Linked DNA regions of Neurospora crassa OR74A. The protein of the gene in region 2 interacts with the protein of the main gene of each other region in a biochemical or structural test. Links are inferred from orthologs where the notes say so. Each region holds a gene or a part of one and is shown on either strand. Other genes may lie near its edges.

The links.
Region 1: of the proteins of NCU00681 (region 2) and NCU06404, one has a biochemical effect on the other in vitro, tested with the Saccharomyces cerevisiae proteins (2 studies listed by BioGRID). The link is inferred for Neurospora crassa OR74A from reciprocal best matches to the Saccharomyces cerevisiae genes MDR1 and SEC4.

The regions. Positions count from the first base shown.
Region 1 is NC_026504.1:2,622,410-2,627,867, reverse strand, and holds NCU06404 (GTP-binding protein), read left to right. Parts: upstream 1-2,159; 5' UTR 2,160-2,827; coding exon 2,828-2,857; intron 2,858-2,987; coding exon 2,988-3,255; intron 3,256-3,466; coding exon 3,467-3,786; 3' UTR 3,787-4,653; downstream 4,654-5,458. Other genes in the region: NCU06403 (hypothetical protein), read left to right, coding at 1-453, 519-865. UniProt on the Saccharomyces cerevisiae protein: Involved in exocytosis. Maybe by regulating the binding and fusion of secretory vesicles with the cell surface. The GTP-bound form of SEC4 may interact with an effector, thereby stimulating its activity and leading to exocytotic fusion.
Region 2 is NC_026501.1:7,577,825-7,580,757, reverse strand, and holds the end of NCU00681 (GTPase activating protein), read right to left. Parts: coding exon 834-2,933; 3' UTR 501-833; downstream 1-500. Other genes in the region: NCU00680 (2-methylcitrate dehydratase), read left to right, coding at 1-266.

The DNA of each region.
Region 1 (5,458 bases), on a different chromosome or scaffold from region 2:
TCGGCATTACCGTTCGTGACTTTTGGTTCAATTGGGTCATCGAACCCATCCGCAAGGTCATCGGCACCATCCGCCATGACACCAACAGCGAGATTGCCATCATGAGCCGCGACAGTCTCAAGGCGGACAGGGAGAGTCTGGAACGCATGGTGGTCGAGTTCACGCTGGATAACCCCAGTGTGGCCGTCGGGTCGCCCAACGTTACCGACCTCCAGATTGCTGATATCCGTGCAAAGGTCAGGGAGGGAGATGTTACGCCTATCTTGAAGGCTTATGAGAAGGGCCTCCGTCGTCCCTTGGTCGGCGCCGTCAGCGGTGACCTGGTCCGCTCGCTGCTGATCCAAGTGCAGAAGACCAAGGTGGATTTAGAGGTGGCTATCAGTGGTATCGACTCGCTTCTCAAGAGCCAGGAATTGCTCTTTGGGTTTGTCGGTCTGGCGCCCGGGGTTGTTGGTAAGTTATTTTGCTCGACTCTTGTCTGAGAAACGTTGAATGCCACTGCTAACTCTCAAATACAGTCTCCATCGGCATCGTCCAATACCTCAGGACCGTCTTTGGCAGCCGCAAGGGACTCCGCAGAGGAGAAAAGGTTCGTCGTATCGTCAGGGTACTCAGAAACATGGACAGAATCCTGGCTGCGGGCGCTACCAATCCCAAGGGCGGGCTCAAGTACAAGGACCGCGGGCTGTTGCTTTGCGAGGCGCATGTGCTGCGCGAACTCGCTACTGAAGTGCTCCCTGGAGACATCCGGCGCGAGTTCCTGGAGGATCTGGAGGATTTGACGAGTGTGAAGAATGTCGTTCTTCAAGAAAAGGCTCTGCAGAGGATTCGGTGGGCATACGCCGATTGGCTGGGCAAGAAATAGATGGCTGTCAGAGTTTCATCAATCCTCTATCCCGAGATCCCCAGCGCGGGAGTTGGTGAATGGCGGTAAGCGTTTTGTATTGTTAGTTGGGCTGTGATGTGATATGATCAGTGTACTTTAGTAAATAGCGACTAGATCTTCCATGATTCTTCTGTTTGTATGAAATAGCTATAAGGACTTGGAGTTTTGAGAATGCACGGGGGAGATGGTGCCGGTGATATGGCAGAGGTGAGCAGGTGCAGGAAGTACCGGGCCTAAACACCAAAACAGAGTTGTCTACTAACCCCTTAAACACGGTGGATACCTACCTACCTATGTGCCTATAGGCGGCGACGTTTAGTCCACGTAGTGTGAAAACACCCCACGGGCATGTTGCTGGACTTTTTCACGCTTCACGCAGGGGCATAACCAGGGTGCAGGGTCACCCAGGGGCCGCCTTTCGTGTGGCGGGAGGGCAGGAAAAGGCTTTGGTGGAAGAGATCATTGGGCCAATATGAGTTATAGATCCATCAACGGATACTGCGTCTCGTGCGTATAGACTGTTCACCGCCCTGCCCGCCTTTCTCACCATGTTGCTGTGAGACCGCCCAGTCGCCTGTGTCTGCAGCTTCAGCTGGCCTTTCACGATACTCCATTTTGTTGAAGAAGCCAAGAAAACCCCTTAATCAACTTTCCTGGTAAAACAAACAAATAAAGACAGCTGGTCTTCTGTTGGATGCGCGAATGAACGGATGGTCTCGTTTGGTCTCGAGGCTCACCTTCTTCCGCGACCTCAGATATTAGTGGCAGAGCTCCCTCCCTGGTTCCTGAATCTTGGGTTGCATTCGTTGAGAGTGCAGTTGAGTTGTCTCTTTCTCACTCCGGTTTCCTAGACACTTTGCGCCATGCACAACAACTTGTCCTTCGAGCTCATCCTGTCATTCATAACACATTGGTATCTCTATCTACTGCAAGGTTGAAAGGGACACAAAGAATGGAATATCAGGTGGAGTTGTTGCGGCGATTGTAGGTTCTAGAAACTTGACCGATTACGTACCGAACAGTCGCGTCCCCTAGACCACGATCACGCGCTGCAATAAGCGTTCTTCCACTAGAGTGGAGGTACAGGTGTAAAGGGCACAGATAACCCCCCATCCCATACATAGTGTAGCCCGCGACTCGGTAGCACTTCAGGCAAGTGCGTCAACCCTCACATTGTACCTCTATGGTGGTGATCGCGTTGCCCGGGCTCTGGACTTCCACTTGCCCTGCGCTTTGGGACCCAGGTTAGCATTGATTAGATAGTATCAGACATCAGGGGCATCTGAGACATTCCAGTTTTCTTGGTTCCTTCCTCTCCACGCAGGGAGGTCTTGGACAAGTGGAAGCTACAAGACCCCTTTCTGCCTTCCCCGTCCTCGTCATTGTTCGCCTTTCCATTGGATCTCCGCACGGCATCGCCCCGTAAAGTTGGAGGGAGAGAGAGCCCAGGTACGCACTGCCCGCAGCCCAGTAGCCGGCCAGCCAAGTCTACCTTAGTGCAGGAGTAGGAGACCCCATCGCGCTCTCGCCTGTTTGTTCGTTCTGCGACTCCTCCTCCGCTGGACTACTACCTAACCCGTGCAACCGCCCTGCAGTTTTGACAGGCCCGTCAACGTCGCACTGCGGACACGCTTTCAACTACCACCACCACTGCATTCCACCACCACTCACTCACTCACCTACACTACCTACCTACAACTGAACATCATTCCTGCTCTGTCGCCTGTTTCCTGAACTGCGCATCGTCACCACCATTCGAGCCTCCAGTCTCCATCCCCATTCCCTTTCCCGCAACTACCAGTGTACAACAGCCCGACGATTTCGAAACGCCGGATTTCGATTGATATCCCCTTTGCCGAATTCCGGAGTCCGAACTACCAGAGAAACATTCCAAGAGATCGAAACGACGGGCGGCGGCGTTAACCCCCACACCAGTTCATCATGTCGAGTAACAGGAATTACGATTTTCTGGTGAGTCTTTCCTTCACCTCACCGCTCGCACTCTCGCGACATTCCTTGTGTTCCCCCCCTCCCCCGTAGTGGGTTTGGCGAGGTTATTCTGTTTCCAGACGCTGACCGGAGATACCGCTTCACGACATAGATCAAGCTGCTCTTGATCGGAGACTCGGGCGTTGGCAAGTCCTGCTGTCTGTTGCGCTTTAGCGAAGACTCATTCACACCGTCATTTATCACCACCATCGGTATCGACTTCAAGATCCGCACAATCGAACTCGATGGCAAGCGGGTGAAGCTACAGATATGGGATACCGCCGGTCAAGAGCGTTTCCGTACCATCACGACGGCATACTACAGAGGCGCCATGGGCATTCTTCTCGTTTACGACGTGACGGATGAAAGGTCATTCAACAGTACGTGAACCCACATTCCCATCCCGCATAAAATGGCATGACAGTTGCGGTCAAGAGGTGGTCCTTGAGGTCACGCTCGAAATGCGATGGATTGGTGCCTTTTAGATGCCATGCCTCTCCATTGCTCCGGATTCTGGCATCAGCAATCTCCCATCGGATACCATGCCATGTATTACCTCGCTCCTTTGCTGACGTGACCTTCTCTTCGCAGATATCCGTACCTGGTTCGCCAACGTGGAGCAACACGCGACGGAAGGAGTCAACAAGATTCTCATTGGAAACAAGTGCGACTGGGAGGAAAAGAGGGCGGTTTCCAAGGAACAAGGCCAAGCGCTAGCCGACGAGCTTGGCATTCCCTTCCTCGAGGTTTCGGCCAAGGCGAACATCAACATCGAAGAGGCCTTCTTCAGCCTCGCCAACGACATCAAGAAGCGCATCATCGACACATCCGGCAAAGAGGCGTCTGGCGGCTCGTCGGGCGTGAACGTCAGCGACAACAGCGGGTCAGGATCCGGCGGCAAGTGCTGTTAAGCCAAACGGGTAGCAGTTGTGTGGCGGCGAAACCCGACCCTGGAGCTCGCAAAAAAAAAAAAAAAAAAGCCCGCTGACAATCACGATGGCGATACGAGATCCGATTTATCCTCCCGAAGTATGGATGACAGCAGTCTGGCCTCATTCAGTTCTATTTGGCTACAGCCTACGTCTATCGAACATGCACCTGTCTTCCTGCGGGCCACCAATATGCACGGCCGGGTCTACCGCATGGAAACAAAGAGGCGGTGTAGGGGAGAAAGAGGGTATCTTCGGTCTCAAGACTTTACTATGGTTGTAATGAAGCTAAGGTCCAAGAGGAAAAGACGGCTTTAGTTATTCTGGAGGGCTCATTGAAAACCCCTTTCTTGTCACTCGGGAGCAGGAGGGAGAAGCGGCGCGGAAGATACGACGCGTGCTCATTTCCGGCTTCTCGCTATTGGGTCTATTATTATTGCGCTCTAGAAGCAGTGGATGGTAGGATGGATAGGCTAGGGAGCTGAGGACATCAACGACGATACGGAGACATGTGAGTATTACGACCGGCTTGATCGATATAGATGGATTGAGGTTGGGTTGGCAGCATGGACGAGGGGCAGAGAGCGAAACGAAACATTCTGGTCACGGAGTTTGGGTGCGATCTTTGGCTCTTCCTAATATATTTCATTTTCTTCTCTCTTGACTGTTTCCCCTTTGTTGTTCTCTTTCTGGTTTGTAGATTTCGTGCGCGGCCCCCCTTATAGCTGTATCTCCAAAGTATGACGATACGACACCCATAAAACAAAACATAGATAGATATTCCCTGAAAAGATGGGGACGCCCTGGTCAACCATGGCTAGTGTAGAGTATCAAGACGTATGACGTGAGCGATAACATTGTTGACATGAGCCACGAATCCACAAGAGGTGCTCTTTTACTCTTTCGGGAAACGAGCACAAAGAACGGGATAGATGTGGTCTGTGCGTTGCTCAACTTCCACTTGTCGGTCCCTTCGGTCTGACTGTTTACATAGTGCCGAGGAAGCCACCACTGCACTGCGGCATGCCACCACGCTCACTACAGGACCCATACTCGAGGGTGATGGGTGCCTTCTGGCTCTGGGCGCCAAGGCTCTTCCACCCCCTCCCTATAGGAGAGGGGGTGGATAAAATATGGGATAGTAAATTAATTTGGGACAGTAGCGAAATATACTATGTAGATTCGCCAATTAACGCCCTGTAAAATCACTCTTTTATATTGTAATATTCGCGCAACGACATTATTACCTTGTGACTACATTTCGCATTCCTATCGCCTTAAAGCTATAAAATAGTAAGAATCTATATATCTATAGATTAATAGAGAATAGCTATTAACTTACTATACTAATAACTAACAGACTCCCCGACCCCGCTAGTTTATCTAGTACCTATACCTATTTAGCTTCACAAAAACAGCGAAACCCCTCATCAATCAGAATTATTGCGGCATATACTAGGTAATCTCGTATATCTATCACTCGTTATACAAAGTTGTTACGTAAGGAGGGTAGAACCGCTATATCGACTCGTCCGCGGGATCGACTATACATATTAATAAATAAGGAGGAGGATGCTCTCGTCGTATATACTATATTTTACTTCAAGGGAAGGTTTCCAACGTTGTAAGAAATAGTCGTTAGCGTGGCCAATTC
Region 2 (2,933 bases):
TCTCCAACGGTCTCACCGTCGAACTGAACGATGGCACCTTCCTTGACGAGGTCGTCGTCGAGGCGCCCCTCGGCCACCGCCTCCGTCGCGAGGAGGCCAAGCCCCATATCCTGGCCAAGTACAAGCGTCACTTGGAGCCCCACTTCAGCGCCGACAAGGTTGAGAAGCTGGTTGCTCTTGGCCAGAACCCTAAGGAGTTGGAGGCTATGTCGGTTGATGAGTATGTTGATCTTTATGTCAACGAGAAGAGCGAGTTTGCTCAGTAAATGTGTGGCTTTGTTTGACTGGAGCAGAGAGGAAAAAGGAGGGGACGTTGTGCATTATATAGAAGCGATCTTTGGTGTGCTTAGAATGGCGTGAAATGAATATACCATTTTTTTTCTTTTTTGGTTTACATGTATCGTTCTGGTCTTCATACTGGCTGGTGATTCAAAGAAAGGGATTGTGAACTGTATCCTCTGTGGGAACTCACTTCATACTCAATCACAAACATCATTACTGGGACTGATATGATTGTCACCTATTGTAAAACTAAGAAAATGCCTAAAATGAAAAAGAAAAAAAAAACCCTTCAGAATGATGACCTCCTTGCCAGTTACAATAACCAAAAAGACACGTTGAACCAAACTCCCTAGTAAGTTTGCGGACCTAGTAGACTAAAGGCAAAACAAAAAACAAAAACAGAAGACGGTTGAGCCCTTCATATGACCTGGCAATAATACCCCATGCACAATCCACAGTAAAGTATACCTCTTAAGATGCCTGAACCACGCACAGAAACCCCAACAAAAGGGGCCACCATAATGTCAAATCATGTTCTTGTCCAACGGTTCCTAACCGTCAAACTCGACGCCCACAACCTTGGCCGTACCACCGACATTCGCTTCATCTCCTCCTCCCAAACTACCACCACTCCCTTGTTGCAGCTGAGCCTCAGCAGTAGGATCACTAGCCTCTGCATCCGCCCCCGTCAATAAATCTCTATCCGAACTCCTCACTCCTCCACTTCTCATCCCCGCCGCCGACCCTCCCGCGCCGCCAGAACCATTCCCATTACCGCCAAGCGACAACCCTTCAACAGGCCCCCCATCATCCTCGTCATCATCGTCATCATCGCCACCACCACGATTCGCGCCGCCCGGCTTGTGCTGCCCTGGCAGCGCATTCTTCTCCAGCTCTCTCTGCGCCTCCTCCATGCGCCTCCTCACCTCCGCCGCGACACGCATTCCATCCGTGACGATATTGTCCAGTACGCCTCTTAGACCGCGTCCGGCACCTGCTCCTCCCTGCTGGCTGTTTGCTCCGCCGGCGCCGCCGAAGAAGCCCATGTGGGAGAAGGTGCTTCCTAGACCGCCCACGCCGTAGGACGACGAGGCGGCGTTGGAAGAGTTGCCGCTAGACATGTTGATGCCCTCTACGAGGTGGAACGAGCACGGGAAGGATGACTCGAAAAATTGCTCGAGGAGCTCGTCGGCCAGGACGACCATGCGGAAGGTGGGCAGGGTGATGTGCAAAGGGTTGTTGGGGTCGAGGGCGATGTTGGCCTTTTCCGACTGCTGGCGCGAGACGCGGCGGCGGCGGTCTTCGTCGTTGTTGGAGATGGACGAGGGCGCGGTGGATGGGTCGAGATGCAGCGAGGATGGCGGTTGCAGGCTCGAAGTGGCGGTGTCCTCGGAGCGCTTGGCTGGGCGCGGGCTGGCGATTGGGGAGTCCATGGCTAGGAGATCGTCATCGTTCTCTTCGTCAAAGTCGTCGTCGTCGTCACCAATGGCAAAGGCATCAGGGTCTGCCAAGCCCTGGGCGGCATCGTCGTCATCAATGGAGATCAGGTTTTCTTCCTGACGAGACGTCGTCTGTTGTTGTGGTGGTTGCTGGCTGTTTTGGTTGTTGGGATGGTCTGGGTCTGCGTACTCAAAGCACCTCCTGATAAATGCACTGACGCTCCCGAGAAATCTCTCGTTAACAGATTGGTCGGGCACTTCATTTCCAGGGGTCACCATGCCCTCAGTCATCATCCCGTTAGGTGCTGTTGCACGATCCAGTGTACCCTCCAATCCCCGACGTGATAGAAAGAGCAAAGCCTCGGACATGCGCAATATGCCTTCACGATCAACCTTGCCGTCTCCATCATCGTCATGCAGTTCAAAGAAGTAGTTAATCGTTCCCATGATATCACGCTTTCCTTTGATGCGGGCCAAGCCAGTAACGACGTTCTGGAGGGTGAGCGCGGAGCTGGAATCAAAGTCCCATTTCCTGAACAGCCTTTGGAGGAACTCGTGATCTGCTGGTTCAGGACCATTGCCCCAAGGAGACATGGATGATTCGTTCTTCCGGAAACTGTTGTAGAACCCTCCCCCGTTACTGGAACCCGTGTCACGGCGAGACTGAGTGGGGGAGTCCGAAACAGCCCACTTAGCGATACCCGCGAGGAACTCTCTGAAGGCATCGTAATCCATCAGGCTTGTGCTCGGGCCCAGCCCAACTCGCCCCTTTTCAACATTCCCCTCGTCCACCACTTGGCCGATTCTCGATATCCTGTTGCTCTTGGCTCTCCTTGCCTCTTCCTGCTTGATGATGAGATCCCGTTGCTGCCTCTCGTACAACACACCGTAAAACCTATCGTATACCGCACCGAGCTCATCGGTGCTAAGAAGCTTGCTTTCCGGGCCCAGGTTCCGAATGGCCGTCCGTTTGGCAAAGCTCTCAATGTTGTTCAACACTGCGTCCTTGTTCTTGAGGCGCAGCTCTGTGATGGTGCTGTGTGTGATGCCAGAGAATTCCTTGAATGCCACCACCATTAACTCCTGAAACCTGGTAACAGCTCTCAGCTTCGGATTCTCCGACTTGGGGTGTGCCGACTCATCCAGCCGAGCAAAATAATTCTTTAATACCGAGATGAAGGCACCGTCGTCAGAGGCATCCAGTAGCTCCTC